Linked DNA regions of Arabidopsis thaliana. The protein of the gene in region 2 interacts with the protein of the main gene of each other region in a biochemical or structural test. Each region holds a gene or a part of one and is shown on either strand. Other genes may lie near its edges. The genes, in order: SUB and AN.

What was found.
Region 1: the proteins of AN (region 2) and SUB form a complex in vitro, tested with the Arabidopsis thaliana proteins (one study listed by BioGRID).

The regions. Positions count from the first base shown.
Region 1 is NC_003070.9:3,715,235-3,732,768, reverse strand, and holds SUB (Leucine-rich repeat protein kinase family protein), read right to left. Parts: upstream 10,062-17,534; 5' UTR 9,635-10,061; coding exon 9,544-9,634; intron 9,201-9,543; exon of another isoform or gene 9,167-9,200; coding exon 9,037-9,166; intron 8,940-9,036; coding exon 8,868-8,939; intron 8,703-8,867; coding exon 8,637-8,702; intron 8,546-8,636; coding exon 8,474-8,545; intron 8,391-8,473; coding exon 8,319-8,390; intron 8,240-8,318; coding exon 8,168-8,239; intron 8,094-8,167; coding exon 8,028-8,093; intron 7,931-8,027; coding exon 7,865-7,930; intron 7,782-7,864; coding exon 7,288-7,781; intron 7,192-7,287; coding exon 6,833-7,191; intron 6,743-6,832; coding exon 6,471-6,742; intron 6,398-6,470; coding exon 6,259-6,397; intron 6,176-6,258; coding exon 6,060-6,175; intron 5,924-6,059; coding exon 5,767-5,923; intron 5,654-5,766; coding exon 5,591-5,653; 3' UTR 5,319-5,590; downstream 1-5,318. Other genes in the region: AT1G11145 (hypothetical protein (DUF674)), read left to right, coding at 4,603-4,653, 4,725-5,057, 5,133-5,237; AT1G11125 (uncharacterized protein), read right to left, coding at 13,126-13,923; AT1G11120 (CTTNBP 2 amino-terminal-like protein), read right to left, coding at 15,449-15,619, 16,190-16,263, 17,222-17,534. UniProt on the Arabidopsis thaliana protein: Regulates the expression of transcription factors that define the cell fates.
Region 2 is NC_003070.9:180,785-196,593, forward strand, and holds AN (NAD(P)-binding Rossmann-fold superfamily protein), read left to right. Parts: upstream 1-6,360; 5' UTR 6,361-6,450; coding exon 6,451-7,038; intron 7,039-7,226; coding exon 7,227-7,392; intron 7,393-7,499; coding exon 7,500-7,630; intron 7,631-7,744; coding exon 7,745-8,536; intron 8,537-8,632; coding exon 8,633-8,680; intron 8,681-8,777; coding exon 8,778-8,891; intron 8,892-8,980; coding exon 8,981-9,052; 3' UTR 9,053-9,688; downstream 9,689-15,809. Other genes in the region: AT1G01490 (Heavy metal transport/detoxification superfamily protein), read right to left, coding at 1-68, 563-638, 810-896; AT1G01500 (Erythronate-4-phosphate dehydrogenase family protein), read left to right, coding at 4,476-5,225, 5,556-5,789; ASG4 (Homeodomain-like superfamily protein), read left to right, coding at 9,812-10,044, 10,157-10,214, 10,354-10,474, 10,557-10,691, 10,795-10,908, 10,996-11,105, 11,183-11,275; AGL28 (AGAMOUS-like 28), read right to left, coding at 11,856-12,287, 12,567-12,878; AT1G01540 (Protein kinase superfamily protein), read left to right, coding at 15,196-15,758. UniProt on the Arabidopsis thaliana protein: Involved in controlling the equilibrium between tubular and stacked structures in the Golgi complex. Required for cortical microtubules (MTs) arrangement that confers cell shape.

The DNA.
Region 1 (17,534 bases), 3.5 Mb from region 2:
GATTGAGTAACAGGAAAGGAAAAAAAAAAAACAAAGTTAAAAAGTACTATGTTCAGTTTGACGAAAAAGAAAAATAACAAGTATTACTGGTTAATCGCAATACGTTTTAACACTTTTTTTAAGATGTCAATCACACAACTTGATTGAAATAAATAAAATACTCGTCAACTAATTCCATTTTAATATAACCAACTCAACGGCCTGAATTAATATTGAATTTTATACCACATTGAATTTTTCGTATAACCAATAATACACGGATACAATCTACTACAACTAGATCATACTAAATGACTAATTAACTACCACTTCTTGATTCTAAAAAAAAAGACAATGAAAATTTCAAAGTTTGGTTGTGGCCTTGTGGGTAGATTAATTGATCTGAAAGAAGAGGTTGATTGAAGTTTGATTTAACAACTGTTAATCACGTTTTGAATATTTGTGTTTGAGTGTTTTTGTTCCTACGACACATGTATTTGCGTTTAAACGTTCAATACAATGTTCACACTTTTTTGGTCAACTGTTTTCTCACTTCCAAAATGTAATCATATAGTAGTAAGATATTTTTTTTTCACATTATAAAAACCCAAAAAGATAATCACGGAATCAAGGTTTGTAAAAGTTATATTTGGTGAAGATCTCCTGGTTTATGATATGTGACATTTGCTTGTATTGTATTAAATTGTTTTTTTATAGTTATAAATTATTACTCTAGTTCCCGTGTTATAATTTGTCTCTCTTTTGGACAAGAGCATAACATGATCTAAGTGCTTCCCATGTTTTGGTGTTTTAAGTTTTCTTGCATAATAAGGGTCAATCCCAATCAACGACTTTATTTGGTGAAGTAAAAAGAAGATCATTTATTTCGATAAGAAATGTTTGTTACTTCCACAGATTGATTGACATAAAATCTGAAATCAACTCAAACGTACTTTATGAATATTGAAAAGTACAATTTTATTATGTGATATAGTAAAATAGTTTTAGATTGTTTTTTGCTTTCATTATTTAGTAGTCACTAACTTCTTGTTTTGGCTAGTATTCATGTATAATCCCAATACTGTATATATTTTAAGAAAAGCTCTTCTCGTCTCTTCCAAACACGTCAAAATCAGTAGGTAGATTTGTTTAGATATGAGAGATTAAACTTTGAAAATAAGAAACTTTTCTCCGAGACAAAGGACGTTGGTAAAATGAAGCTAGAGACTTTGTTAGGGGATCATATTTTAGCAGACCGCGGGAATAGCGATGTGAGAGCAAAATTGTCTTGTTCTTGCATAACGCCACAGGTGTGGATGGATTAACCAAATCCTGCTCGTCCCAGTAAAATTCATCACGAAACTGAGTCCGGGAAGAAGAACATGAAAGCAAATCTATAGTACAAATCTTCTCCCATGAGTCTTCTGATGATTTCAACCTCCAAATCTCTTGGACCAACGTATTCGGTTCTCTTTTCGACATGCACAAACCATTATCCAGAGTGCACATGTCAATATGCATCGGATCTGAACCAGCAATAGCCGGTTTGATCTTAGGCAGCAACCGGAATGATTCGGCATGAATATCAAAAGCCACTACTTCGATTTTATCATTATATGGCTCCGTCAACCAATATACTGACCCGTTTGCACATGCTGGTATTTGGCCATGAAATATCCGATAACTTGGAGTGCAAGTCAAGTCTCTCCAAGAGTTTGCCCTAAAGTCAAAAACCTCGCACTTTGTAACTCCCTCGTTTGGACTCAAGGCATCAGCATTGTACTTGTCAGAATTATACAACCACACTAATTTATAATCATTGGCCTTCACGAATGCTAGATGAAAGACTGACTTCATGTCTAACCAATCTCTATAAGTGGCCTTTTGCATCAAAATCTGAAACCTAGCTGGAGGAAGTTGTCGTAACCACCGTGTAGCCGGATTTACTACATACATGGCTTGCGATCTCGGTGAATGGACGCAGAAAAGGCCATCGCAGCATCCAGAAACGTAGATATAGTTGGCGAAACTTTGAGGGAAATTGAGAAGAATAAAGGATAGAAGAGAACCCGATTCCAAGCAGAATAACCTAAAACCAATGTCTGCGTCTGGACGAGGTCGAGGCAATAGTTTTAGGGGATCTTTTTCAGTGATCACCATAACCCTAGGATGATGTGCATGGAATCGCTCGGCGATCTTTAAGTGTCTCTCTTCGAAGGATTGAGACTCGATCGTCGATCTCCATTGTTTCGAGAGAGTTTTGAGTCGAAATAGTGCTTTCACTGGAAATCGTAAGAAGATTTCCTCTACGACGTCATTTGGCAGAGATGATGGAGCAATCACTGGCTTCTCGTTTCTTCTTCTTCTTTCTTTTTTTTTCTTTTTTTTTTTTGAAAGAATGTAAAATTATATTCAAACAAAAAACGTTTATACAATAAATGCTACTTCATGCTGAAATTTAGAAGAGAAGTAGAAACAGAGTTTGACATAGAAAAACAGAACACTCGGGCTAAGAGGACGAGCGTGTGGAGAACCAAAGCTGCAGGCCATCCTTGTAACGATGGTTGCTAGTGGCTGTGATTGTGCTGAGACGGTTCCGTACGGTTCCATCGATTAGCTTGATTTGTCGAATTGTTGTGGTAGGTATCTCGCCGTGTCGTCTAGCATTCCTCTCGCGCCATATATGGTAAAGAGTAGCTTGAAAGACATAACGAAGCAGAAAGAGGTGGAGCCGGGGAGTGCTTGTGTTGTGAAGCATTGCGGTGAGCTGGTGCCAATTTGATGAGTAGTTTGTTTGAAGAAGGCGATGTGCCAAGTTCTCCCAGATCGTTGAGGAGTATGGGCAGGAGAAGAACAAATGATCTCTCGTCTCCTCCGTGTTCGTACATAAGACACAGTGTACATGCTGCCCCGTATTCCACTTCTTGATTCGATCCCCTGTTGCTAATTTATTATGAATTGGAAGCCACGTTAAGAATGAGTATTTGGGCGTAGAGTAAGAGAACCATACACCTTTCGACCAAACCACTGTTGGATGTGTGCCTCTAATATTATTCCAAGTGAACTTTGTTGAGAAAGTTGTCTTAAACTTATCTCCCACAAATCTCCACATCGAGATGTCCTTCTCATTTATTCTGATCCGTTGGCGAGTAGTATGTATCTCAGCTTCAATTCTGTTGAGAACGTCAACTCGATGCTTTCGACGCCGTCGAGGATGTAGAGCTGTTTCAACCATTGCATCGAGAGGAATACCCAAATCAATGACTCCACGAGGACCTGTTATATCGATCAATCTGCCCAACTGTGACCAATTATCAAACCAAAAAGAGGTTGAGCTGCCACTCTTAATTTCCACCTTGTGCATAGTCTTGGCACAATCTCTATATTTGAATAGCTTTTTCCACATCCAAGAACCCATATTGGAGCTCTCTTTAACCAACCAGAATGACCCTTTTCGTATGAGATATTTCCATATCCAAGTAACCCACAAAGACTCTGATTTGGATAGTATCCTCCATACCAATTTCAAACAACTAACCTTGTTTGCCTCTACTAGTGATTTAATTCCCAGCCCTCCCTCATTTATTGGCTTACAAATCTCGGTCCAAGCAATCTTAGCTCTGTTGGGATTAAGATCCGGTCCAGACCACAGAAAAGCCGCACAAATCTTCTCAATTTCCTTTAAACAACTGTTTGGTAATCGATAAGCAGATATCCAGAAGTTGGTGATACTTACAAGTACTGATTTGATGAGAGTAAGGCGGCCTGCGTACGATAGTGCTCTTGCAGTCCATGAGCTGATTTTTGATCTAACCTTTTCTTTTTATTATTCTTCTTATCTTTCTTCTCTTTCTCTTTCTTTGTGTTGATGATGCAATCACCACTCGATTCTCTGCCTCCTCCATCAATAATAGTATTGCCTCTATCTCTCTCTGCTGAGCAAATATTTATATCTCAAAGGGATAAAAGGAACAAAATCAAGCATTTAAGGGGGTGTATTCAATCTTATATTTTGAGTGATTTGAGGTAAATTGAGTTTTTCTATGTTTTTATGATTTTGGGTGGATTTAAGGAAACCATTCAAAACCACAATGCCACCTAAAGCCATAAGATTTAAAAATCTCTTACAATCATTAAAAATCTAATCCTTAAGTTTTCAAGGACATGAAAATTTTGAGTAGATTTTCAAGCTTTCAATAACACTAGATTTTATTAGATTTTATTAGACCTTTTAAAATTTATAATTAAATAATATTAGATTTGCTATTTTAACACCCCCATAATTCTCTAGATCCCTCATTTAATTCTCGTTTATATTTTTCCATCAGTAAGAATTTACATTTTCTATAGCCATTTGAGCAATTATGGCAAGTAGTGATCATCCTATATGCAAAAAAATTAGATGGCCCAATTTCAAAAAGACATCAGTGAAAGGAGTTTCCGAAGAGAGCAAGCAATGAAGCAGAGATAGAACCTGGATTCAAAAATTTCATAAATAGATCGGAGAGTGCGAAAACGTAATGGCATAAATAGATCAGAGATTCCACAATTTGATGATGATGAAGAAGCATAGCTCTTGTGGTATGACACGTTGGCATGACATGCCAAAGCTACCCGCGCAAGATGGAGGTGAAGCAGGGACTCACTCTGTTTGCTAGGAAGCAGGACATGAAGGTTCTTGACGCTGAAAGCGGACACGACTTTTTGTGGATCTACTTTTCATTTTCCTTGCTATCCCTTTGGAGTCTGTATGGGAAATCACTGGAAGCAATATCGACCTAGTATGCATTGGCAACTTTTGTAGAAGCTTGAAGGACTTGAGCTCTAGGGGAGGCACAGATGCATCTACTAACACATGTATGCTTCCTTGGCAATATAGTTTGCAGAAACCGTTGCTTGGGGTCAGTTATTTAAACAGTGACGGTAGTTCTCAGTCGACACCTCATGGTAGCAATGGGTTAGTTAAGAGAGGGGCAACATACATTGTCTCAGATGATCTTACTATTTGCGTAAAGAAGAAGTTTGATGTGAACTTGGACGATATTTTTGAGCATGAAATCAACATTGGCAAAACACATGTATATCTATATTACTATTCTTTCCTGATATTTTTTTTTGAATCTGACACTAATCCAGGCCATAGGTTTACTAAGAGCCTCATTCGTGACATCCACTGCCTTGACTACGGCTTTCGGGAGCTTTCTTTCAGAGAAACGACTCTAAAGCATCAATCACATGCCCTCTGTGGAGCAGATTGATTTGAAGTTTAGGTTTTGTTGTCTACAGTGCTAGTTGAACAAGTTACCTTCTCTTTTACACTACTGTTAAGTACAACCTTTTGTTCTTGAATTTTAATGTCTTTTGATTCAAAAAATGTTTATCCTTTTCAGAAAATAGAATCTAAATACATGATCAGGTTGGTGAATAATGTTTGAGCCGGTAATGGGATTGGGGTTACATAATGATGATCCCATAGCTCATTTCATACAGCCAACAACATACATAAAGTGTTATTATAATACAAAAGAAATACTTTCATTCATCAAAGGACAAAGAACAAGAATCTGACAATAAACTATTGCTTCTGCGTCTTAGTCCAAGGTTGTGTATCTTAGATCATATGTTGAAGATCTTGGACTATTTCTGATATCGGCGGTCTAAATCCTGGTTCCATCTACAGACAAAGATAAGCATGCACAGAAGTCAAAAGGGTTAGTTAATATTCTGATGTCACGTGTTTGACATTGCTTTCTCATCTAGTTAAGTGATGAATGAAGTTAAGTTTACCTGCAGTGAACGTGATATGATATCTGCAAAACGTGACAATGATTTCATTGGATACGCTCCGTGTAATGACGGATCAACCATTCTTGTCAACGCATCGATGTCATGAAGCCGAGGAATCGCCCACTGAGCTAGTGTTTGATGTCCCCTCGGCCTTGTCCTGCAAAAAAAAACAGGGTTTTGTCTTGAGATAGTGTAGTACAGTGATTTTGCATAAGAAACATAAGTGAACATGTTGACTTTTGAGTTCAGACTCTTTTATGGCTTCTATTAGTTGTCTCTTTAGAGTAGCTAACCTGTCAAATGGTCTGCGTCCAGTGAGCAGTTCTAACATTACAACCCCAAGGCTAAATACGTCGCTCTGACAAGTGTAGCTTCCATACTCAACCTCAGGAGCGGCATAACCCGCCATCTACAATTTTATAAGCAAACATCATATCCTTTACAACACTCACTCTTATGTTTGGGATCTTCAAAATAAGATGACAAATTTACCTGACTCGTTGGGCGTGGTGGTAACATATAAGCCAAACCGCTGTCTGCAACACGTACTGAGAGCTTTCCATCAAGAAGAACCTTGGAAGACTTGAAATTCTGGTGAACAACCGGCGGTTGACATACCTCATGAAGAAACCTGAAACCAAACTCTAAGATCCTATATGTTCCAAATATAGATTGGCGTAACATGTTGAGGTTCTTTAACTTACTGCAATGCCTTTGAAGCTCCTAATGCAATATTTATACGTACATTCCAAGTGAGCTTCTTGTGCAACTTGCGATCCAAATGTAGTGCATCTTGAAGTGATCCATTAGGACAGTACTCATACACAAGTAACCTTTGACCAAACTCGTTACAGTAACCAAGAAGCTCCAATATATGACCGCGTTTAAGCTTCAACACATTGGAGACTAGATTGAGGAATTCGCCGTCACTCTGTGTTCTGTTGATGGTATTGCTCAGCTTCTTCACCGCAAGAAACTATAGATCACAACGTGTCAAGACGTAAATAAGAATGCACAGCATAAAATACTGTAAGACCAAATGACAAATAAGAGGAAAGTGTCACACCTTTCCATGACGAAGCTCAGCTCTGTAGACATTACCAATCGACCCTTCCCCGATTATATTCTCTTCTGAGAAATTATTTGTGTATTGCTGAAGTGAAGCAATGGTGAAAACAGTAGCAGAAGATGAGGAATTCAAGCCCGGGGGGAAATGAGCCGCTCTCTTTGAAGCAGTATCATTGGACTGGAACTGCCTCGGTGGTTGTTGCAGCGGCTTTTGAGGTGTATTAACATCCTTATTATAATATGAAGTAGGAGGCATTGCTCTCCGGCTCTCTTCAGCCCGCTGTGGCATTGGATACCCATATTTCCTGTCTCCAGCTCCATATCCATCGAAAGGCTTAACCATAGGCTCCCGAGAAACTGCAACAAAAGAAAACACCACAGCAGTTTGCCGTTAGGTAATGAGCCAAAGCACAAGTTTCTTTTCTTTTCTTGGAAGGAAAAGAATCAGTGTACCTTTTCCCATAGTGGGGGTTGGTTGAGATGGAGGCTTATTGAAGTATGGTCGTTGTAAATCTTTACGAGCTCCACTGTAATATCGGTTATATATTTTACTTCTGCAACATCTCCAAAGTGTAACACACAAACCGGATACAAGAACAATTATGGCCACTGAAGAAACTACTAGAATGATTCTTTGAGTGGACCAGAATTTTCCTGATCCTGAACCTGAAGGAGGTGATATTTGCAAGGTAGGTTGCCCTGACACAGAGTTCCAGGGATCTCCTCCTCCATTATCAGAAGAAGGTGGTGACCAGACCAGAGGTGGTGATGGTGGTGGATGTTGTTGTGGTTGCAGTGGAGCAAAAGGAGCAAAAGGTGCTGGGGGAACACCAGAAACAGGAGGGATACGGGGAACAGGAGGAGCACGGTGAGTAGCGGGAGGAGGATCAACCACAGGCGGAGGCGGTGGTGTTATAATCGATGTATTGAACGGAGTTCCATCTTTTCTGCGGTTATAATGACAATGTAACATGAATGGCTAAAGAAAAGGAAAAAAAAAACATTCAAGTTTTCTTTTAGTAATACTTACTTGAAGTTTGGAATTTTCAATAGATTTGGCGGTATAGGTCCCGAGAATAAGTTGTTTTCTACATTCCTGAATCAAAAATATGAAAAGCCATAGTGAGATACTGAAGTTGGCTTAATGGTTGGAGAGTCAAGAACAAAGAGTATGCAAGGTGAAAAACGATTACAAATCGGTTAAGAAAAGATCCTCTATAACATCAAGTGTTCCTGTGAGCTTGTTGTCCTGCAAATACCTACAGTCCGACCACATCACATATAAAAGCAATGATAACAATGTTTGTATACGGTTTCATATATGTGCACTTACAATATCTTAAGAGAAGCTAAGTCTCCCATGGAAGAAGGTAAATGCCCCTCCAGTATGTTAGACGATAAGTCCCTGCATTAGAAACTTAATGTATAAATGAAAGACGCTGATGGGAGGATACAAAATGAGACTTAGTGAGGAGGAAATATACAGTTTTGTCAGTTTTGATAGCTGCTGAAAGTAATCTGGTATCTCTCCTGATAGAAGATTGCTTCCCAATGACCTGAAGGGAAAAGAAAGAGTCTGCTTCAAACAGAGGAAAAACCGCAGATGCAAGAAACGGTATCTACATTAATAAAGACTTACAGTTCAGACAAATCGGATAGAAAGGACAATGTAAAGGGAATGTTCCCAGTGAAGCGATTGCTTGAGAGAGATCTGAAACAAGAAAATGAAACCAAACATGAAGTGTCTTTTAACTGTTGGAAACATAAGTATTGCCATACACATAGTCAATTCTCAAACGCACAGGTTTCGGATGGAAGAAGGCAAAGCCTGCGGAATTGTCCCTGAAATATGATTGCTACTGAAGTCCCTGTCCACTCAAACAAAGAAGAGAGAAAAAGTATCACAAAGCAATTCAAGATTATAACCAAACCTTATAGTCAATGGTAACAACATCTTGCATGTTCTTCACATAGCAAGAAGCCTCATACAAAAGATGAAGATGAAAGAAAACAAGACAAGAAGCTTTGCTTACATGACTTGGATAGATGAAAAATCAGCCAGAGTATCACTTAAGCCTCCACCTACCTTCATGCCAGGTATCCTTCTGCAGCCAACAACAATAATTCACGTGGTTAGAACCTGAATTGGTGACTCAAAGCAAACCATAACAAAGAGTTACAAGAGCAGAAGAGGAAGTATACATTTCTGTGATGTTTGAGGAGTCACACACCACACCTTGCCACTTTTCTCCACAAGGGTCTCCTCCAAAAGCAAGCCAATGATGTAGAGATGGTGCTCCCAAAGTGATATACAAGTTATTAATCGCCGAAACTGCAGAAGTTATTAAACAACAGACAAACACATCAAAAAGTAAAATTTCTAGAGATTAAAGAATCTTTCTTATGATAACCATTTAATGAAGAACAATAAGAACAAATTTCTTGGTCTTGAACTAAAACCCTAACAAGAGCTTATGTGTCAAAAACCTAAACTTTTTAGGGTTTTTGAGGTAGCCTCAAAATCATAGAACTTTGCCAATCTGGAGCTTCCCAAACAGCTATATTGCTTACCTAGTTTACCCTAAAACTGATGTAAGTCATTTTCACTAGACACAAGTCTAAAAAAAATCTAGAGTGTTCACTAAACCAAAAGAAGGAGAGTCAAAGCAAAATCCAAATAAAAAAAACTTTGCAGAGAAAGATTATTACCATCTCGTAGATTAGTAACTCCAGCTGAGAAAGGCATTGTCAAGGCTAAAACAGAGAGACCAAAGAACACTTCCCATCTTGTAAAGCTCATAACTTCAGCCACTGAAGATGAGAAAACCCTTGAACTTGGATTAGATTGTTTCTTTCCAATAAAAAACGAAGATTCAGAGGGAATGTTATGGAAAAAAAACACGAGGAAGAAGAAGAAGAAGAAGAAGAAGAAGGGTGAAACAGGGATATTCCTGATTAAAAGGTAAAGTGAATCATAATTTCGTCGGATTTTTAGGAGAGAGAGAAAGAAGAAAAGAGATGAAGAGTGAGTGAGAGAGAAAGAGTGTAGTGTGTTTTGTCTCGAAGAACGAGCGGCTTACAAAAGCCAACGGCTTTGTTTTTCTCAGTTTTAAGCCTTTAAGGTTTCGTCTCCAAAGTGTGAAACAGAGAAAACTTGCCAAGACTTGTCTCTCTTTATGTCTTTTAATTGTCGCTTCTATGCTTCATCTAATTACTATAGTTTCCTTTCATGTAATAATTGGATTTTTCTAATGCCATAAGGTAGAGAGATAGAAGTGAATATTATTTTGATGTAGATTACATATTCCGTTACTTCACCTATTAAAATCCAAATAATGTAACAGGCAGAGTTTATCACACTTATTTCAGTGAGATGGGCCAAGAAAACAGTTGAAGTAAGAAAAGCTCTGAGAATTCTTTAATGGAAGAAGAGAGTGAGAGACCCTACAACAAGGTCAAAAAAAATATCATCATATTCATCCCACGTCCATTTTTGCTCTTTTGGTGATAAAAATGTGTGAATTAGTTTTAGTAACAAACTAATAGCAACAAACTATTTGAGAAAACTAGTACTTTTACATGGTTTGGAAATTGATTTCAATTATACATCTTAGTGAATCCTAATATATGTTTTTAAACAATTAGAGCCAATAAAGGGTTTTTTCTTACGACTTTAAATTGAATATACTTAGTAATTATACAATAATTATCTTTTCAATATATTCTAAAAATAACTAACTAATGTTATATGTATGATTGCACGGTGCATTTTGGTTACCATTCGAAACCTTTGTTTTTCTATTAATAATTAAGAATTCTGGTTTTGTGTTTACAGTTACAACTAACAATCACTATTTATCAATTTCTTTGGAATATATTCTTAATTTGTATTATTCTTTGTTTGTTGGTTGATGTGATGGAGGATTTGTGTACAATTCAATAGTAGTAATTTAATGGAATGCCATCATTGCATAATTTGAGATGAGAGTAACTTCGATATTCATATGTGATTACTTCTCAAGTTCCTTTTTTGGTAGGAGTTACTTCTGAAGTTCTGATATTCACATAAATTATTTGCAACCCGAATAATAACAGCAAACATACATTGTATGATCAATAAAGAATAAAACATGCTTGGTGAGCTTATGTGTTGATATTAGATTTTTATTTTGTCGAGATCAATTAATTATCAATCGATTTTTTTGGCTTGTCAAAATCAATCAAGTTCACACCATACACGATAATAAGTTGCGACTAGTTAAAAAAAAAAAACCACATTCTTATGGGCTATTCAAACCAAATGTGGCCCAAACTTGGTCAATAGTGTAATGGTAAAGCCCACTTGAAAGAAGATACCTCTCGTAGGCCTAATAATGCAATGAGATTGCAACGGTTACTTTCAATCTTTGAAGAAAAGTAGAAAACTATCGTACATGATGCTTTTTTGCACCCAAAAAAAATCGTACATGATAACATTTTTTTTTTTCAAAACCAATATGCCAAGTGCCAACCATAATAAACCGAACCAAAATCAAATAAATAATACCGAATCAAATTTTTGTTTCGACCGAACTCGACCCAAAACTACACCAATCAGGTTGGATTCATTTTGATTCTTGTACTTCAAAAAATCAGAAACCCCATATAATAATGATTGTAGCACTTATACATGCATACCAAATTAGTTATGAGATTGGAAGATGCATGATAATGAATTCAAACTATTGGTCTCTTAAAAAAGAGTGTCGAGGAAAAAATACAGATATTGTAAAGTTAGGCTTTATTTTATAATATGGTCTCTCATTACGCAAAAGGCGAAACAAAATTAAAGAATGCAACACTACTTTATGGTCACCCGTTAGCCAGAGGATCCAAGGCACATAACGAATGTTTTATTTATTTAAATCAAATCTAGTTACGTATCTACACGAATTTTGGTTCAAGTTTTGGTTTTACATCACCCTAGCTTTTTCCGCCCTACCATTTTACATCAAGAAGCTTCAAAGAAAAAGTTCTATAGATTATGAAAAGTCAAAAAAAGAACTTAAAAGAATTTGTTAGACGATACTTGGATACAATTTGCTGTTATGCACTTGATCGTTTTGAAAATATTAAATTGATCAGAACTATTGAATTGTCTCGTTCCATTTTCATTTTCCAATATACACAAGTATGATACACTCAAACTTTCTAAATTAGTTTGAAGTATGATACAGAACTATTGAAGCCTGTTTTTTTTTCTCTCGGCGGAAATTATTCAACATTCATCCAATAAATTAGTTAACGTGTGATGTGGGGTGCAAAAGGACAAACAAGAAAGCGTTAAGAAAAGCATAATCTTTACAATGCTCTCTCCAAAAGATGAGCCTATAAAAGTAAAAAGAATAATAATAAAATTGCTATCAAAAAAAAAGAAAAAACGTTTGAATGATTTACTAATAGACAAACCACAAAATCGAATTTTTGTACTTTTTAAACAACACCTAAATACTTTTACTTCCATACCTATGGTAACCAAAAAGGAAGGATCCCAGTTTTGTTTTACACGATTGAATATAAACTAAGATAGTTAAGTAAGGCTGTAGAACAAATAAACTATTTTATACACAAACTAGAACCTACTAATGGTTCATGTAAAACTAAATAACTATTTTGTTTTTACACTATGAATCAAGTCTTAAACCAATTATAAATGAACTACATTTTGATGTAAAAAAAAAAAAAGAACTACATTTTGATTGAAATAAAGAAGAGTATTGGTTTATTAATATAGGAAAAAACTAAACCAATACACTTATGTTAACTAAGTATTTTCTTTGATTTTATAAGTCACACAGCATATTCAAATCGTGGATTAGTTCTAGACGATAATACAATAAATAAATTACTAATAAGTTTAGCCTATTTGAGTATAAAAGATGAAGACTCAAATATTCATGATACATTATTTGAAATTTGTTGGTTCGGACGATCATAGTGAATTGAATTTAGTGTATGATGGTAACTTTCTTTTTGGGGTCAAAGTTACGTGACTTTGCTTGCGTCTGATTTTGACTGTCAGAAAATATATAATAATTGGTGTCACGGAAGCAAATCTTTTGCCACCCTACTCACACATCATACAATTTAATTTCTCATTTTTTATAATCAAAAACAGAAAAACATTTTAGTATTTTTCAAAATCCACAACCAAACAGATTCTGAACTGGCGAAGCATGTGAAAACTGATTAAGATCAAATAACTTCGAAATTGTAAATTCCGGCGATAATTCGGTAATAAGATACATTATCTCATAGGAAGATGAAACACTCTAATGAAACAAGAGGGTTCTCAAACGAGTCGTTAGGGGCAGAATTGTAATTTCCAATAGAACCCGGCCACTTGTGATGATTACACTCTTGATCCGACCCGTTCATATTCGGATTGAGTCTGACCCGACCCGGAGACTGGCTTTGTCTCCTCATTGCTCCACAACTGTCTGTACTCTGTTGACTCCGAGTTGGGCCCATCATGACGGACCTGTTCATCGCCGGCGATCTAGACCTTCTCTCGGATCTTTCAGTCGAGTCTCTCGTACCCGTAGCCGACGGAACCAGCCTCACCGAGCCAGCTTCTTCTTCGTTGTTTCTCTTACGTGGAGACATATCGGTTCTCCGGTTTGGATAACTAACCATGACCCGGTTCCGAGATTTCGCCGGAGATCTCTGTCTCACTACATGAGATTTCATCTGCTTCACTTCTTCCTCGTCGTACTTATTCACGATCGAAAGCAAACTCTCGCTTAAACTACAATTCTCCGAAACCTCCGATCCTTTTTCCGGTTCAACCAAACTGGGCTTGGTCAAAACCGGTTCTTGAGCAACGTCGACAACAATCCCGGGTTTCTTCTCCTCTTCTTCTTGAATCTTTGTCAACGTAGTCTTCTCCACCGTCGAATTGTCGTTAGAGGAAGTGAGCAATGTGGTTTCGGACAAGACTTCTTTGACTACTGTCTCTTCATCGATAACAGATGGAGGCCGTGCGGTGTTCTTGCCGGAGACAGGATCATCTTTCTTGTCGGCGGTGGCGGAGCTGAGGCAACAACCCATAACAGAGAACGGTGTCGTTAAGTGGATAGCAGATAACTCTTTTTGGTGCTGTGTGATTGCAGCAGAGTGAATATGATGAGAGAGTTTTTGGGTATTTATTGGCAATATTTTGGATTGCTCTAGACTAGTGAGAAACTAATTACTTTCACCAAAATTTTATATTTATTTATCTATAACAGTGAAACCAAAAACGTTTTATGACGAAGAAATAGTTGTAACCTGAAAAAGCAGACCAAAATCTAGCTATGTCTCTAGCATATGTAAATTAGTCGATTTTTTTACATTTAAAATGTCTTATTGAGAAAAAGCTAACAGTAAAGAGTTAAGTTTTTTTTTACATAATTTGTTGAACCAATGCGTTTAGTCGTTAACTACACAACTACAGTCGAAGTAAATTAAGAAACATGACCAGTATAATTGTTATGCACAAAAATACTGCTTCCGTGTGATTTGCATGGTCTAAAGATTTTCTTATGATTTGTGTGATTTTGAACGTGTAAAACAGTACAAGTTAATATTTCATATAGTTGTACATATGACATTTGACAAAAAGTACAATTTCATCAGTGAATGACTGAATGTGATTTCGAGTCAATCCAAAGGTGAAATCTCGACTCTGATACTGGTTCCCCTGGTAAACTCGTTCATCAAATTATGATTTCTATTTCCATTATTGTGACGCAAATGTATGTACACTCTCGAATTCACACATGCCAAACACTAGTATGAGTCAACTTCTCCTAAATATCATTCTAGTACAACATATGACACAAGTACCATTCACATGACTAGACGAAAAGAAAACTGTATATACCATTTACCTTAGTAACATAACAGTGAAATCCACATTGATTGGTGACTGCACATCAAAAGAGTTATGTCTGCATTCCAAAATCCCAACACGTTTCAGACTCTTCACTCACTAACATGAAGATCTCTAGTCCATTGAAAACCTAATCCACTAATCATATCTCGATCCAAAACTACCACTGGCAGAAAAAATAGCATGAGTTTCCAATAAATAAAATCGTCTGCATCTTCTTACATATAGTTTTACAATTTCCCGATATTGAGATTTATAACCAAGTTCTTGTTTAAACGTACTATAAATCAGCTCCACATGACCTCAGGTTCAGAGTTATGTAACTTACAGAAAGTTCCATATCTTAGAGAGAAAAAAATAACACACTCTCTCTTTTCTTCTCTGCAACCAAGTCATCATACTAAATAGCAAATAGCAGAGAAACAAAATAAACCCAAGTCAAATCTTGAATATACGCTTAAGGCTATAAGCTAAAAGGGCATAAACCAGTTTTTGATCCTAATGCTATTTACACAAAATGCAGATAAATAATCTCCCCGAACCCAATCCATGTAGCGAAATCATCAGGAGAGAAAAAAAAACAGAACAATACAAGAAAACAAAAACATCTGATGCCAAACTCAACTCAAACTAAATGTGGTTGGTCGCTCAAATGTTAAATAAGCCAAATGGTGAATGGTGATGGAGATAAATAAACAATCTTCAACATTCTTGAATGGAGTTTGAGCTGGAGGAATCCTTTGATGAGCCATGTTGATGCTGAGACTGTGAGATGTTTTGAGGAGGACAAGGCACGGGAGCTGGATGAGCAATGAACGTAGGGATATCATCTCCTGGCATCAATACAGATACCCCGTTTGAGTAAACAGTCATCTGCAAAACAAAGAAAAAAAAATCACATAAATAACAACACAACATATATTCAACACATAGAAGAAGCAGAGATTCTCTCAAAGAATTTTGATTGATGAGGTAGATAACAAATCATAAGCAAATGAGAGTTTTGAGTGGGAGAAGACAATGACAGATCAAAACATGTGTCATTGTTCCCCAACAGCAACTCAGGTTAGAATGAAGAAAAGGGCGAAACACACTTGGTCTTAAGTTTACCATTTATGGGTCCTCACATGTTTTTGAATGGTTCTATCTACTCTTTCAACACATGGTTTGTTCCATATCCATCTCATATCAATCTATAATTGTCAATCAGTCTTTTAATTAAATTTACTGTATCTAACACAACATAAGGTGTAAGTGTGTAACAAGAGCCTCTCATCAATAATCAATATCCGGAAAAAGAACTAAATCCAAGTTTAATACCATTTCTTAGAACACATTCAAGTTTTTATCTTGAGTGGGATTCAATAGACATGAGTACCAAAGTCAAGCTAAACCTTACAACTAAGGATATAAGAAACAAAGAACTCTCCAAGAAACTATTACCCTCAAGATTATGACAATGAATAATTCACTCTTTAAAATGTTAAACGAAAAAGAAAACACAATTCTGTTATTACCTTCAAGTTCACATATAGATTGAAATATCATCAGTCTCAACAAATAAGGCTATCAACTCTGTCCTACTTCTAGTCTTCTATGAGGTTAGAGTCAAGCAAACACTACAACTAACATGAAACTATGTAACCTTTACTCAAGAAGATGAAAAACAAGAATAAAGACTCTAAAATAGGAGCAATGTTAGGTTTCAAGAAAACTTGTGGGGCCATTTGTGTTCCTAGGAAATATCAGGCACACATGGTTTCAGACATTGACGTTTAGACCTCATATTCCATCTACAACACGCATAGTTAGTATTATACGCGTCGACATCAATACTTACAAACGAATCAATCCTCAACAAACGAAACTTTATTACACCTCTTTGTTGTCTCCTACGTCATTCATTAATAGGAAGGACAAAAGAAAAACAGAGAAATTCTAAAATGACGAAAGAGATCAATGAATGCATCACCATTTATACATACATACATATATATACACAATCAACAGTGTCTGCATGTGTGAGTAAGGAAGCTTATGAGACATCTTTAATTTTGATGATGTATAAGCATGTGCAATGTTGGGTCTCTTTCAATACTCAAATAGTACACAGAATCAACACTTTTTGATGTTTTCTCCTTCTGCTTTTGGTATGAAGTGTTCACATCAAATCAAAAATTACTCCATAATTAAAATTGCAACCTTTAGCCATAATTAATCAAAAAGACTCGAGCTTTTTTCTTCTTTAACCAACATTTGCTTCACTAAATACAAATTTCGAAGCTATTAAGGAAAAACAATAATTTTAACATCTAAAACCAAAGTTTAACATCTAAGTGTCAAAATCAGATTAGCCAAAAATGTGTCAACATTTAATTAACAGTAAGTAGACAATAATGCGACAATTAAGGAATTTGTGTGTTACGAACTTTATTCTATGAATTATTTTTAGAGAAGAATAAAGTGAAAAAGTACTTGCCTTGGGAGATTGATAACCGAGTTTAGTAGCAGCACCGTTAAACCCGACCCGAGAATCCATACCCGGAAGGACCCGACTTGAAGAGGAATCTGAGTTAGTAGTTGAAGTAGTGGTTGTACGAATGAGTCTCTCGAAGATAGCCATGACGAGGAACATAGAGATGAGAATAGCCGTTGCGACGAATCCAAAGGAGACAGCGTTAACTGAGTCATCGAACTGAGATTTCCACGGCTCTTCTCGCCGGAGATTCATCGGAGCTCCGATAGGTGGCCATTGATGGTTGAGGTTCGTCTTTAAGTGCTCAAGGTC
Region 2 (15,809 bases):
TACCGGATCCACGGTTCCAATAACCGTCAATTTCTTCTCCTTCATGTCCATTGCAATGGAATCGATTCCTAAAAAAAATTAAGATGCAACTTGTAATTCACCAATAAGGAAAGTAAAACGCTTTGTTTGAATCAAACAAAAAAAACAATCTTTGACTTATTTGCTTGTTGATTTTGTTGACACCATATGATTTATCAACTGATGGGCACGTATTTCAAAGAAGCAATAGTGGCCTAGATTTGATTTTATTCTAAGAAATAAAACAATGAATTTCACAAATAAACAATAATTGAAATATTTGGAGCAATATTTTTTACCGTACTGTCACTATTGAAAAAGAGAGACACTTCTGTCAGAACAGCTCGTGATTGTTCATCAACATTAAAGAAATTTTTCACATTTTTTTCCCTCTGTTTACACCTACCTACCAAATCGGAGACTAAATCGGACCGGAAACCATTTATATAGAGGTGAGGTTTAGAAGTGAGAACTAAGCAAGAGATCTGCGACTTGTTTCTGATGACCAACATTGTATATAACAGGAGCATGGAAAAATGATTACCTGGGAGAGTAGAAACCGTTTTAAGGGCCTTTTGTTTTGCCCTATCGTCATGCAAATCCAGCTTTAACACAATTTTCTGCAAAATTATTACAAAAGATCAACAAGTTAGAATCATCAAGAGATGTGAACACCAAGATGACATAATCTTTGATTTTTGAGTTTTTTTCTATCCGGAAGAGGAGCAAGAAAAACAGAGATTTGCAGATTTTAAAGAAGATACCAAAAAGTTAATGATATGTGTACATACCACACACAGAGTGACGTGCATGTGTATTTGTGTGAACATATATAGTAGAGAAACAGAGTTTTGCAAAAGCAGAGGCATACTCATCATTCAATTTATGATTCTTGATTTGATTTTGTTAATAATTCACTGGTAACCTTAAAACGGTATTTCAGCCACACACAAAAAAATCATTAAAAATAAAAAGAAGAGTTTCGTTGCAATTAGGATCAGAATAAGTTAAAAAGTGAGATTCTTTAAGAAGAAAAAACTCCAAAAGAAGCAAATCACATGTAATAAACACTCGCACATGAAGTAATGCAAAAAGGAATAAATTCAGAGAGGTTCATTAATAACGAATAAACACAGAAAAAGGCTTTTTACTTTCGGATTCAAGAATCAAAATCTATTTTTTCTTATAGAAATTCTCTAATCCGAGGAATCAAATCTTGCATACGTGTAAAGAAAGAGAGAGAGAGAGAGAGATCGACCTTCATTGCTCTCAGCTTTTTATGTAACTTGAATGAATTCTCAAGAATTTGCAAAGAGATGTGAAAAAGATTTGTCTGTGAGTAAAAAGAGAGAGAGAGAGAAATGAGAATAAAGAAGAAGAAGAATGAAATAATAGGAAACTTATGAAGACGATAAGAGAGATTGGACACTGATCGTTATTAAAAAAATACCCAAATCCTGACAAATACTGGAGAGATTAATAGAGAGAAAGATGCATGCAGAGAGAGAGAGATCAGTAGTCTCTCAATAATGAATGAATGAATGAATGAATGGTACGAAAGAGAGAGAGAGAGAGCGACGAGAAGAGATCTCTTTGTTTTCGTCTTTGCTTGTATGCGCGTGAGATAAGGCGCGTGGTGTTGTGGCTCAGCGTCATTACTTTCGGTCCTTTGGTTTGTGTTTGTTTCCTTTTTTCTGACCCTTTGAAATTTCTTTCTCACCTTATCCACGTCATCTCTTCTTTTATTATCTAAATCGAATTCCTACTTTTTGATAAAATACGTTTTTCGTTTTTGTATTTTAAGGGACCAGAATATAGTAGTATGAGTTTGTTGTATTATACTACACCACTCGGGAGTATCAACGAATTTTGTCATTTTCATACAATGGTGTCCAGAGACTTATTACAACACCTTAATTAGGTATGCTTATCTAAACTTAATTCGAATCATTCAAATCATAATACTTTATATTTTAACTGTTATGTTTATCAGTCTATGCATCTAATTGGCTCTATATATATATATATATATCATTTATTTTACTTGGCACATGATAATATTATGTTTGGCTTCAGCCGAATAAAAACATGCTGTAGAAAAAATCTATTAAAGAATTTATCAAAAATAAAACTCAAATTTTTAATAGTTTTGTAAATGATTTTTGCTTTTGATCACCAATCCATCGATTAATACGAAATAAATATCTTTAGTTATAATATAAATGTTGGTTGTTTTTTGTTGGTAAAAACATACTGTAGGAAATAAATAATGTATACAATCATTAAGAAAATATTGAAACACTCAAATTGTCAATATTTCTTATTGCATTTTTATATATAAACTTCCATTCTATGATTGATTTATTTTCTCAAGTTATATGTATACGAAGTACGTTGTCTAATAATTGAGTCCTCGCTCCCACCATCGGTTTGCCAATCCTACACGAATTTGATTCTCTAAATAAAGACAAATAATATTCTCCAAGCCACACACAAAAAAAAAAAAAACATACATTAGTAGTGGGAAACAGCTGCATATTCCACGTGTTTGCCCACGTAGATTAATTATTATTTCTCTTTAATATTTGACGTCCACGAAATATATATACAAGTGGATTGTGTTTTTGGCTAGCGCGTGAGAACACGCAGCAAACTGCGAGTAGAGGAAACGAGACGTGATGAGATTTGTGTAAATCTGGGCCACTTAGAGTGGGATGTGGGACCTATTACTCTGATGTACAAATTCTATGTATTTTGTTATTATAAAAAAAGGCGGCTTAATAGTCAATTCTTACCCTTACGTTGATCGTACCATCCTCATCTTCTGATCTGGACCGTCGATTCTAAGCCTTCAGAGGACTTGCATTGCATGTAGTAATTTGGCGATGAATCAAAGAGTAAACACAATTTGACCTAAGTACTCATTTATTATTTTCTGGTAAACTTTGACAAAAAAAAAAAAAAAAAAAGAGAATTCTATAAAAACTTTTGCTTTATAGTTTGACCAAAATTGAAAATGCTCTATAAAAACATTTGAAGCTGCTACTAATGGAGTTGCTTGTTTTTGACAATTAAAGTCTATTTTTGTTAACTTTCAGTTTATTATCTAAAATATTTTTTTAATCTTATCTTAAAATTAAAGTGATGATGTTGCTACAATGCTACTTAAGAATATATCAGACAGTGTTTTTATATGTGGAAACACGTACAATTGGGGACAATATAGTTATCTTAACTATTTTAATTAGTTCACTATCATAATTGCACACTATATAATCTAAGGCAAAATAAAGCGTGTTATCAGTTAATTAACCTCTAAATAGTAAAAAAGTCCATCGTCAGCGTAAAATATGATTATGAATTAAATGTTAACTAAAAATTACGAAATGTATTAAAAAAGTAAAACCAATCTTACAATTGGAGGATCTAAAATACGATCAATATCATGCTACGTGGTGCAATTAAGTGACATAAAATCAACTAAGTAAACCTCCGACACGGATCTTGAGTTGCGGACATACACATGAATTGCAAAATCTTTATTTCAGCTAAACGTTAATTAAATATTGATGTCAGATTAATCTTATATATGAATGTTACTTTATGATTATATTCGCCTACCTAATTAAGTAATTAGAAAGTGAAATGACAAGCCCCAATCTTTTCGGTGTTAACAAAAAGAGGATGAAGAAGAAAACATTATAGCCGGCCTATAAATATATATCCAAAGTTAGTCCAATTTCTCCGACAAGATCTAAAATCGAACGGTGAGGAATCCTCCAAGGATAAAAGTTCAACAGCTGATAAATTTTCTCTTAAACCATTGAGAAAAAGAACATCTACTAAAGAATGTAATAGCTATGATTAAAATTAATAATTTCCGTACGGTCAATGACCCGAATGAGTAAAATGATGTTGCTTTCTGAATCATTATTTACTAAGATCTAAATGTGGTCTGCTTTTTACAATTATACAAAACTATATATATCCATAACTTTTTTGCAAAGAACCATATGTAGTTGACGAAAAAAAAAAGTGGTCTAACATGATTTGTAGCAATTGAGCTGAGTCCATATGATTTAAGCCCATTTAACGGACTGTGTGGAATTGATGGCCCAGTTATTAAACCTTTTTTGTTTGTGTGGAAAAAGCCAAAAAAAACTGTCACACGTGCGAATCTCACAGGTGAGGAGGGTATTTTATCCTGTCGGTTTCTTCTTCTTTGACCCCTCCGTAATTACCTCGTCTTCAATCAAATTATAATTTTTTGACCTTTTTTTACCTTCGAAAATATCTGAAACCCTCAAAAACCTAAACACAACAAACAAACAAACAAACAAAAAAGTTCCTGTTCGATTCCTCCTCTCATTCATTCTCTGCTTGTTCCTCAAATCCTTCAATTTTCTCATCAAATCCAGATTTGCGAATTTAGGTTTTCTTGAATCTAATCGTTCTCGATGATTTCGAAAGATCACCTTCATCATCTGGATCCTCTGGGTACAACCAAATCGTACCACATGAATACCTCCACCGTATCGCCGCCGTCTCCGGCATCATCAATTTCGTTGTCGCAATCGGCGTGGCTGGAGGTTCGTTTGTTCTACGTCCGTATCGCTCCTTGCGTCGTTGAGAACGTCCCTGACTTCCTCACCCTCCGTCACCCTCGTCGCGAAACCGGTGCTTCTCTTGAGGTTAACGGCGTTCGCGTTCCTTCGTCGCAGACGGCGTCGCTTAAACTCCGCCGTGACAGAGTCGACCGGGAATCGTCGGAGGTGACTTACGTGAGCACTGAGACCGTTCGCGTTACCGGATGCGTTGATTTCGAGGTTTATGATAACGAGGATATGGTCTTGTGTGGGAACCTAGATAGAATCGAAGGTGCTTGGAACAATGGAACTGTGAGTGATCCCAAGACTGGATGGGGCATGGATTGTTACATTGCTATGGGAAACGGACACGTGTCAGGTCCTTCTGCCTCTGTGTTTTTCCAGCCAAAGTTTGGAGTCTCGTCTCCGTCCGTCGAGGTTTATATAGCTGGTTGTTGTGGTGGTGTCCCGGTGATATTGACCAAGACGATTCAGGCGAGTCCGAGGAGGAAGGTGGCTAGGCACGTGACACTCGACGCTATCCCTGAGGATGAGGAAGTTGGCAAAGAGCAAGACATTGGTACCATTGGTGATGAATTGGCCCGTCAAAGCAAAGTACAGGTATGATTCTGATTTCACAATTCTCTGTTTGGTGATTGTCCAAGCCCTTAAGTTACGATTCTTAATAACTTGGGATTGAGATTTGAAAAGGTTGCTTCTTTCGTCTAGTTTTGTGAGTTATGAATGCTGTAGCAGATATTTAGTTATTAAGATCACTCGCAAGTTTCTGGTGAATTTAGCTCCTGCTTGAATGTTTTCTTTGACTCTACAGCTGAATTTGAAAATTGTAGAATTGTTGACTGATCAGAAATTGAGATATGGATATAGGTCAATAGACTCTCTTTGCACTTTTTTTGGTGCTTTATCTTGTTTGTCGTTTCGTTTATGCAGATGATGGAATCAGAAGTTGATGAATACGATGACTCAGATATGAAAATGGCACAGAGATATTACCCTGAAGGAATGTACGTTGATGAGGATGGTCAGCTCTCATGGTTCAATGCAGGAGTCAGAGTCGGAGTTGGGATAGGCCTTGGGATGTGTCTTGGTGTAGGCATTGGAGTTGGATTACTCATGCGTTCGTATCAAGCAACAACTAGTAACCTTCGTAGGAGGTTTCTCTGATCATCACCTACCATAAACTAAAAACCCACTTAGACATTTCGAGATCTACTAAGAATGTCGGTAACGTAGTGGGTTATAAAAGAGATAGAATTTTGGTAGATAGATGTATAGAGCTTTTGGTTTTCACCTGTTTGTGTCCTTTTGAATATATATATATATTCGGCTCTGTTCATATACTTTAGTAGCACAAAAGAGAGTTCCCATCTTGCTCCAGTCATGTTCTTTTGTTCTTTCTTTTCTCAAGTCTGTCTATGTCGTTGCTCTTGTGTAGAAAGAGATTTCGTGTTATTGTTGTTGTTGTCAAACGCTGGAGTTTGTCTTTCGGTTTCTGGTCAGGAAATAATGTGGAATAGGGAATGTACATGTTTCACCTGTATTCAGTATCTGTTTGCAATTAGTAAATTAAATTATTACAACAAGCCAAGTGGAAGACGGCGTCGTTTATCATAAATGTCAAACCGATGACGTCTTATCGGGGGAGCATGAGCATTGGACTAAAAAATTATTGTCAATTTGTTTAAATTGTATTTTGGGCCCTGAAAATTATTATAAATGAAATTTAGCCCCTTAATTTTGTAAGAGTTTACAACATTGAACCCTAAATCATTATGTTCCCAAAATCAAAATTTCACTCCTCGAGAGTAGCGAGAAGAAGGAGGAGATGAGCAAGATCCGTTCGTCTGCGACAATGCCACATCGCGACCAGCCGTCACCGGCGTCGCCTCACGTCGTTACACTCAACTGTATAGAGGATTGTGCGCTCGAGCAAGACTCCCTCGCCGGCGTTGCTGGTGTCGAATACGTCCCGCTCAGCCGCATCGCCGATGGTAAGATCGAGTCCGCCACCGCCGTTCTCCTCCATTCCCTCGCGTATCTTCCACGAGCAGCTCAACGCCGACTCCGTCCTCACCAGCTCATTCTCTGCCTTGGCTCTGCTGATCGCGCTGTCGATTCGACTCTCGCCGCCGACCTAGGTCTCCGACTTGTCCATGTAGATACTTCACGAGCCGAGGAAATCGCGGATACCGTCATGGCGCTCATCCTTGGACTCCTTCGACGGACGCATTTACTCTCGCGACACGCTCTATCGGCGTCTGGTTGGCTCGGATCGCTTCAGCCTCTTTGCCGGGGAATGAGACGGTGCCGTGGTATGGTTTTGGGTATCGTTGGCAGATCTGTATCGGCTCGGTATTTAGCTAGTAGAAGCTTGGCTTTCAAGATGAGTGTGCTCTACTTCGATGTCCCAGAGGTATGTTTGTTGGCAATGTCTCGCTAAGCTTTTAATATCTTAGTGTAAACTGACTCTTTAGGGACCAAAAAAAGTGCTGAGTTCTTAGCTACTACATTCCTAAACTGCTTACTATGATGGCTCTCTTTCAAGTTCCTCTCCCTTGGATGTTATATTTGTTGTCAATAGTTGCGTTTGCGTCTGTTCAGGGAGATGAAGAACGAATCAGGCCCTCGAGATTCCCACGTGCTGCTCGAAGAATGGATACATTGAATGATCTTCTAGCAGCAAGTGATGTCATTTCGCTACATTGTGCATTAACAAATGACACGGTTCAGATACTCAATGCAGAGTGTTTGCAGCATATAAAACCTGGTATGAGTTTTCTTGTCAAATGAAATTTGATTCTCCATGAATGTGAATTGAAGATGAACTTCTGCTTTCTCGCATTCCCTTCAATTCTGGTTGATTTTATGTATTAGGGGCTTTTCTTGTAAATACTGGAAGCTGCCAGCTGTTGGATGATTGTGCTGTGAAACAACTTCTAATTGATGGCACTATAGCTGGCTGCGCCCTTGACGGTGCTGAAGGTCCACAATGGATGGAAGCATGGGTATGACTTTCTTTTCCAGTGACTAAACTTCACATTTGCGCCTGCCTATTCTCTTGTTTCATCATCTTCTTCTGTTGTTTATCCTGCATCCATTATATCTTGTTTTCATTGCAGGTGAAGGAAATGCCAAATGTGTTAATTCTACCTCGCAGTGCAGATTACAGTGAGGAAGTATGGATGGAGATAAGGGAGAAGGCTATCTCTATCTTGCATTCATTTTTCTTAGATGGTGTAATTCCAAGTAACACTGTTTCTGATGAGGAAGTTGAGGAAAGTGAAGCAAGTGAAGAAGAAGAACAATCACCTAGCAAACACGAGAAATTAGCAATAGTGGAATCCACCAGTAGGCAACAGGGAGAAAGTACTCTCACCAGCACTGAGATCGTACGTAGAGAGGCTAGTGAGTTAAAAGAATCTCTGAGCCCTGGTCAGCAACACGTTTCTCAAAATACTGCCGTAAAACCTGAAGGAAGACGTAGCAGATCCGGTAAGAAAGCCAAAAAGAGACATTCACAGCAAAAATACATGCAAAAAACGGATGGTTCCTCAGGGTTAAATGAAGAAAGTACTTCACGAAGAGATGATATTGCTATGAGTGACACAGAAGAAGTATTAAGTTCCAGTTCTAGATGTGCTTCTCCTGAAGATTCCAGAAGTAGGAAAACACCTCTTGAAGTAATGCAAGAGTCTTCCCCAAATCAGCTTGTAATGTCAAGTAAGAAGTTCATTGGAAAGTCAAGTGAGCTACTGAAAGATGGATATGTAGTAGCCTTGTATGCGAAAGACCTCTCGGGCCTCCACGTTTCCAGGCAAAGAACGAAAAACGGTGGCTGGTTCCTCGATACTTTGTCCAATGTATCCAAACGAGATCCTGCTGCACAATTCATTATCGCATACAGAAACAAGGTAAACCTTTTTCTCTCTCTTACTTTTCATTTATCTTGCTTACAATGCCAGATAGACCATTATAAATTGGTTTTGGTGCATGAACTTGTTTTCCAGGACACTGTTGGTCTGAGATCATTTGCTGCTGGTGGGAAGTTACTGCAGGTAGCTCTTACATTAGAGAGTGTTACTTCCATTGGTAACTCAATGTTGCTCTTATGGAATCTAAAAGTGGTTGTGTCATGGGTGTGTGTGTGTGCAGATCAATAGAAGAATGGAGTTTGTGTTTGCTAGCCATAGTTTTGACGTGTGGGAGAGTTGGAGTCTAGAAGGTTCTCTGGACGAATGTCGGCTTGTTAACTGCAGGAATTCCTCTGTAAGTCTCTGTCCTTACAGAAAATGGCCCGAAATTGAAAAACCCTACTTCTTGGAAAACAGAAATAATTTGTGTAATGAATGTTGCAGGCGGTGTTGGACGTTCGTGTGGAGATATTGGCAATGGTAGGAGACGATGGTATCACACGTTGGATCGATTAAAAAGAAAAACAGAGTCTCTCCATTTGTGAGTTTCTCTCTTTTAATTACTTTTGTTACTTTAACATCCTTAGGATTCACAGACGAAAAACAGAGACACCCAATTTTTGTGTTTCGAGACTGTGTCGTGTGTTGTGTAGTTGGTATCAACCAACTTATATCTGTAATCATTGTTTCTTTTTATTTATTCTCGGTTTGCAGAAACATCCGATGAGCTTGTCTTAGAGGGACGTTTGTTGTTGTTTTCTGGGTCTGGTCGTGATGAACTCGAAAGCATTGTGTGTTTGGTTAGTAGTTTGAAATAGGTGTGTGTATTGTATTTGTATATGCTGCGTTTGTGTTTTAGAGATCATCGTACATAAAACACATCATCGTACATAACTAAAATTTGAGCTAAACTACAAAAGAAAGTAACCTTCATTTTTAGTCGAACCAGGCCCCAGCTAGGCAGCTATCTCGTAAATAAGATTGCTGGCTTACGATCGTATTCCACGTGGCAATTTATGTGCCGTGGATTTAAATTTGTACGTGGCATGAGTGTTAGGAGAATGTCCACATGGCTTGTAGTTGTTAGTCCCACGCTCTGAACCAGAGCAACCGGCTCCTTACACGTGTTCGGCTTAAATCCATTTTTCGAATGAGATTACACTTCTAACCTTGTCTCCCTCTCCCGCTTATACCACCACCACTCTCACACAAGTCTCTCAAGTCACAAACTCTGTTTCAAACCAAAAGGGAACTTTGTGTGTGTTGTCGAGTTTTATGGTGACTGTAAACCCTAGCCAAGCTCATTGTTTGCCTATGAAAATGAGTCTACCGGGTTTCAATACTCTTCCCCACACGGCAACAACGATACCGGTTTCCATACGGAGCAATAGGACGATGTCGTTTTTTGAGGATCCAACAAAGAAGGTTAGAAAGCCTTACACTATCACCAAATCTAGAGAGAACTGGACGGAGCAAGAACACGACAAGTTCCTTGAAGCCCTTCATCTGTATGTTGACACGGATTTCACTTCTCTGCCTTCATTTATCTGATTAATGATATATAGAATCTTTGAGATTTGTTCTTCTTCTTCTGATATGATCATGTCTATTTGATTGCAGATTTGACCGGGATTGGAAGAAAATAAAGGCCTTTGTTGGATCAAAAACAGTGATACAGGTAATCAATCAAACATATGCATTCCATACTTTTGTCTGAAGTTACATATAAGTAATTTTATGAACTCTGTTCTTTGGGGTGGAATTGGAGATATAAGTTCTATGTATGTTGGATAGTAACTAGAATATTGGTTTTGTAGATACGAAGCCACGCACAGAAGTACTTTCTCAAAGTTCAGAAGAATGGGACTAAAGAACATCTCCCACCTCCTCGACCAAAGAGGAAAGCCAATCACCCATATCCACAAAAAGCTCCTAAATGTGGCAACCTTAAACCTTTTATCTTTCTACTTCCGCTTTTGTTACTTTATCTCATTTTCTCATGGTTATGTTTTTGATGCAGTTACTCTTTCTTCTTCAAACGCATTATTTCAACATGACTACTTATACAACACTAATTCACATCCGGTGATTAGCACCACCCGTAAGCATGGATTAGTGCATTGCGATGTTAGTATACCAAGTTCTGTTATCAAAGGTAAAATATGTGCTTAAGTTTGCTGTGTGGACTAATGTAATAATCTGAAGATATTGCTTGTTTGAGTTGTTAATAATGTGGGGTAATGAATTTGTGATTGTAGAGGAATTTGGTGTCTCAGAGAACTGTTGCAGCACTAGTAGTAGTAGAGATAAGCAGAGGACTAGAATCGTTACAGAGACAAATGACCAAGAAAGTTGTGGAAAGCCACATAGAGGTAACAATTTTGCTTGAGATTCCTGACTTTGTGATATTCATATACTGATTATGAGTTTGTTTGTTTGATGTTGGTTTTTCAATTCAGTGGCGCCAAATTTCGCTGAAGTTTACAATTTTATAGGAAGTGTGTTTGATCCTAAAACAACAGGTCATGTCAAGAGATTAAAGGAAATGGATCCAATAAATCTTGAGACGGTATGAAAACCAATAACTCTGCACATGAACATGTCTTGATTTGAAAACTAACGTTTACACGGTTTTTTGTTCAACAGGTTCTCTTACTGATGAAAAATTTATCTGTAAACCTGACGAGTCCCGAGTTTGATGAACAAGTAAGAGCTAGTCGACTCTTTGTTACATTTTGACTCTTGAGAATATTGAAGAGTAAACAAATTTTCTCTGTTTATTACAGCGGAAGTTGATATCATCTTACAACGCCAGTTAGAACTAAACGATAGAGAGAAGTCTCTAATGGTAGTCTCATGGGATATGAATGAATGAACCGGTTGTACATATAAGTCTCAATAGTTTAGAACGTCTTAGAAGACAGATAAAGCCTGTGTAGAAAGTCACTAGCTTTTTTGTAATATTCAGTTGTTGCTTAGGTTTTTATACGGAATGGACTAATGACATAACTAGTTTTGAAAATTACTTCAGATAAAGCCTGTGTAGAAAGTCACTAGCTTTTTTGTAATATTCAGTTGTTGCTTAGGTTTTTATACGGAATGGACTAATGACATAATATGAAACTTCATATAGCTTACTCATATTCCACAAGAAAATGATATAAAGCTACAAGACAAAGTATAACGAAAAGAAACAAGAAACTAGTTGACTCGAGACTTAATTAAAAGCCCGACAACAACAACAACAACAAACAAAAACAAAACAAAAAGCAGAACAAACTATTGGAGACTTAAAAAGTCACACAACGAGAGAGATAGACTAATAGTAACGAGCCCAATACTGAGGATGGACTTGTTTAACCTCCTGGTTTTGGAGTTGGTAACTGTTGTACCCAGCTGGTGTGCGATTCATAACATTAAATCCAAACGGCAGTGTTGGAGCAGAAGTAGAGTTTCCGTTTTGATCAAAGAAACCATGGTTTGTGGAGATATTACCACCACTAACAGCTGCTGGAGCAGCAACATTGCTAGAACTTCCAACATAGAAGTTTAGGTTTCTATGATGAAGTTGAGCGACTTTTTCATCAACTTCCTTCTTCAAAGCTTCAAGATCACATTTCATGGAAGTTGATTGAGCTAAGTTGAGTTCTGTTGGAGAGTTCCTCCACCACTTCTCAGCGTCCTTGTTCTCTCTTTCATTTTGGACTATTGACTGCTTGGTCTCTTGTTCTTTTTCTTTTTCAGCCATCACCTAAGATAAAATTGTATTTTAAACAATTAATTTCATGAATAATGAATGTGTAAAGAAAATCCGTGAATCCATGACTATGACTTAAACAAAAATTGAACCCACCAAAATTTTCATTCTTAATTTACTTTGTTGAGGAAATAAATATGCAAAGGAGGTTTACCATTTCTTTTACAAATCAAAAACAAATTGTGAAACACTTATATAATAATTTTTTATCTAAATTGAAAAATAAAAGAGAGAAGAAATAAAGATTAGATAATGCCAAAACTTAAAACTTACCTCAGTTAAAGACTCATTGAGCATTTGAATACGGAGCTTTGTGCGGCTTTCAGCAAAGTTTGTGTTGTTGTGTCTTATAACACGCCCTAAAGAGTGGTCAAGTAACTTGTTAACATTTGGATGACCAAAAGAGTATGCTTTTCCCGAGGGTGAAAACACGATTATCGCAATTTCCGCGTCACATAAGGTGCAAAGTTCACTGCCTTTTTTGAAAAGACCAGATCTTCTTTTTGAAAACGTAACTTGAAGGTTTGATTCGTTGGTCATTTTTACCAACTCTATTTTTCTACGACCAAGATTCTTTCTCGCCATTTTCGAGATGTTTTGAACAGAAAAAGAAAAGCGAGTTGATTATATTAGAGATAATAGGTATTTGTATTTATAGACTAAATTTTACAAAATATGTTTTGAGCATTGAAAGAAAATATTTTTTTCTATAGTGATTTATAAGAAACAAAATTATGAATTACCACTCTAGGAGTATATATTGGTTTACAAATTTCGTCAATAAAAGGTATACAATATTCTATTTTATCTCCAACATTATCATTTTTTAAAGTTTACAGCCTGTCAATTTTTTAAAATATGGGAAGGATATCCACAATTTTCTTAAAAAATATTTTCCATGTGTTTATTTTCCACTATTTTTCTATAATCAATATCCTTTTTGATCTTTTATATTTATTTTAAGTGTTCAAATTTTTTATATAAAATTCATATAGTGTATATATGAAATATTATGTCCAACTTACTTTTGTTTTTATAGAGCAAATTGACAAAATAATATGATTGAAAGTTGATAAATGACATGATTGAAATTTTATGTCCGACTTTCCAAGATTTTATTTAAGTAAATAGTTGTTTTGATATTTTAATTGATCGCTGACTTTTCAAAAAAAAAGTTGTGATAATTAAATTAGATTTAATATGTGATACACAATTTGTTATATCATCTCTGAATATAGTATACTTTTACACAATTTGTTTTGGGCCGTGATTAATATAGCCCATGATCGTTACCTAATGGGCTATGTTTCTCTGCCTCTAATTGCTTGTTATACATGATGATGATATATTGATAATCTATAACCTATATACCTCTCCTGAAAAACGAATTTTTAAAAATGTATACACTTCTCATGTTTCTTGTTATATCTTTTTCCTTCTTGTTACAATTTATCGGTGGGAATCAAATCTGATTGGGTTCCTTTTTTTGGTCGGTAATGGTATTCAATAGTCAAGTATGTAAAAGATTCTAGCATATAGATTACAAGTCTTAAGCCCAACAAGGAACCAAACTAAAACTGATTAGGGAAAACTAAGTAAGATTCTATAAGCTAGAGTTTGTACAAAAACAAATTCTAGCCCAGGTAATGAAATATCCAAATGCAAAAGACAACATTTATTAGCTCAGAATCTACTTTTAAAAAAGCCCAAATACCACATATCATAAGCTTGCACTTCCAAACGACTCTAAAGTCTAAAGTCTAAACCAACCATCGCCGCTGATCATTGACTTATTGGCATACTACAAAATTTACTTGTTTGGAGCAATAATGGGTTTTCTCTTTTAGCCCCACCTAAACCCTTTTTAGGAGGAAACCTAGATTATACGTGGCCACACTAAATATTATTCTCTCATTAATTGCTCTACTTTTAAGAGCCAACCAAACTTTTTGAAGACACAAATATTATGAAATAGTAATACATTTGACCTCCGAAGTTTCAACGAATGATCTACACAATCCATCGTGTCAAAGATACAATTTTTTTATCCACCATTAAAACTGTAACAATACAACATTACTCATAACATTGACTTTCAGGATAATCAGGCTCTTCATCACCTTGACTTGCAGTTTCAGTCTTTTTATCTACTTACTGCATATATGATATGAGAAATCCGATTTGTGTGTTAATGTGACATAAACAAAAAAAAATGTTCTTCCTATATATATAACAAATATTTTTTATGAACAAACCAATAATAATGTGTATCAGAAGCAAACAAATGATTTTTTGGTGCACTCATGTTCCCATAACAAAAGTGATTAGTTTCTCATAAAGTAAACTCAATAATTATTCCATGAGTATGTTTATATCCATATAAAATTTGCAATTAAATAATCAAACGTCAAGGTTCAATTATAGTCAAAACAAGAACGAAAAACTAACCAATGTGTAATCCACAGATTGGTTAATTGCACTGAACCGTACCTTATCATACCACCCCAACGGCTATCGACATCGATTTATTACCAAAAAACTCCTCAAAACTATATAAAAGACTCTACTATCTTCCACTTTCCATAAAAGGGTAAAATAGACATTTCGGGTAACCTTCTCTCACCGTCACCACACATGCAATTACACTCAGACAGGAACTCAAAAAGACAGCTCATTCAATTACATCAACACAGATCACTCCAAAGCCTTTCTCTTTAAATTCGTTATCGTTTTTTTTATTTTATCAATTTAATCTTTTTATTTGTTTTGTTCTTCCTCGATTCAACACTCGATGCTGTGACAAAGCCCAGATTTTGGCCGGAAAGTTTTGTGTGTTTCCGGCGAAGAATGCGAAGAAACCGGAAGAATCTGTAACGGAATCTAAGCTAAAAGTTAAAGTACGATGTCGGTGTACGACGCTGCTTTCCTTAATACAGAGCTTTCGAAACCGACATCGATTTTTGGTCTCCGGCTATGGGTCGTGATCGGAATCTTACTTGGATCTCTAATTGTCATCGCACTCTTTCTTCTCTCCCTCTGCTTAACTTCTCGCCGGAAAAATCGAAAGCCGAGAGCCGATTTCGCCTCCGCCGCCATCGCTACACCGCCGATTTCAAAGGAGATTAAAGAGATCGTTCCGGCGCAGAATCAGTCTGTTCCGGCGGAGATCCAGGTCGATATCGGGAAGATCGAGCATCGAGTGGTGTTTTCAGATCGAGTGTCGAGTGGTGAGAGTAGAGGAACAGCGAGTGCAAGTGAAACGGCGTCGTATTCCGGTAGCGGGAATTGTGGGCCGGAGGTGTCGCATCTTGGATGGGGCCGATGGTATACTCTGAGAGAGCTTGAAGCGGCCACGAATGGGCTTTGTGAAGAGAATGTAATCGGAGAAGGTGGTTACGGGATTGTGTATCGTGGCATTTTAACTGATGGAACCAAAGTCGCCGTCAAGAACTTGCTTAACAATAGGTACTTCCAAATCTTCAATTTTGATTCTAAAGATTGGTCCTTTTACTCTGT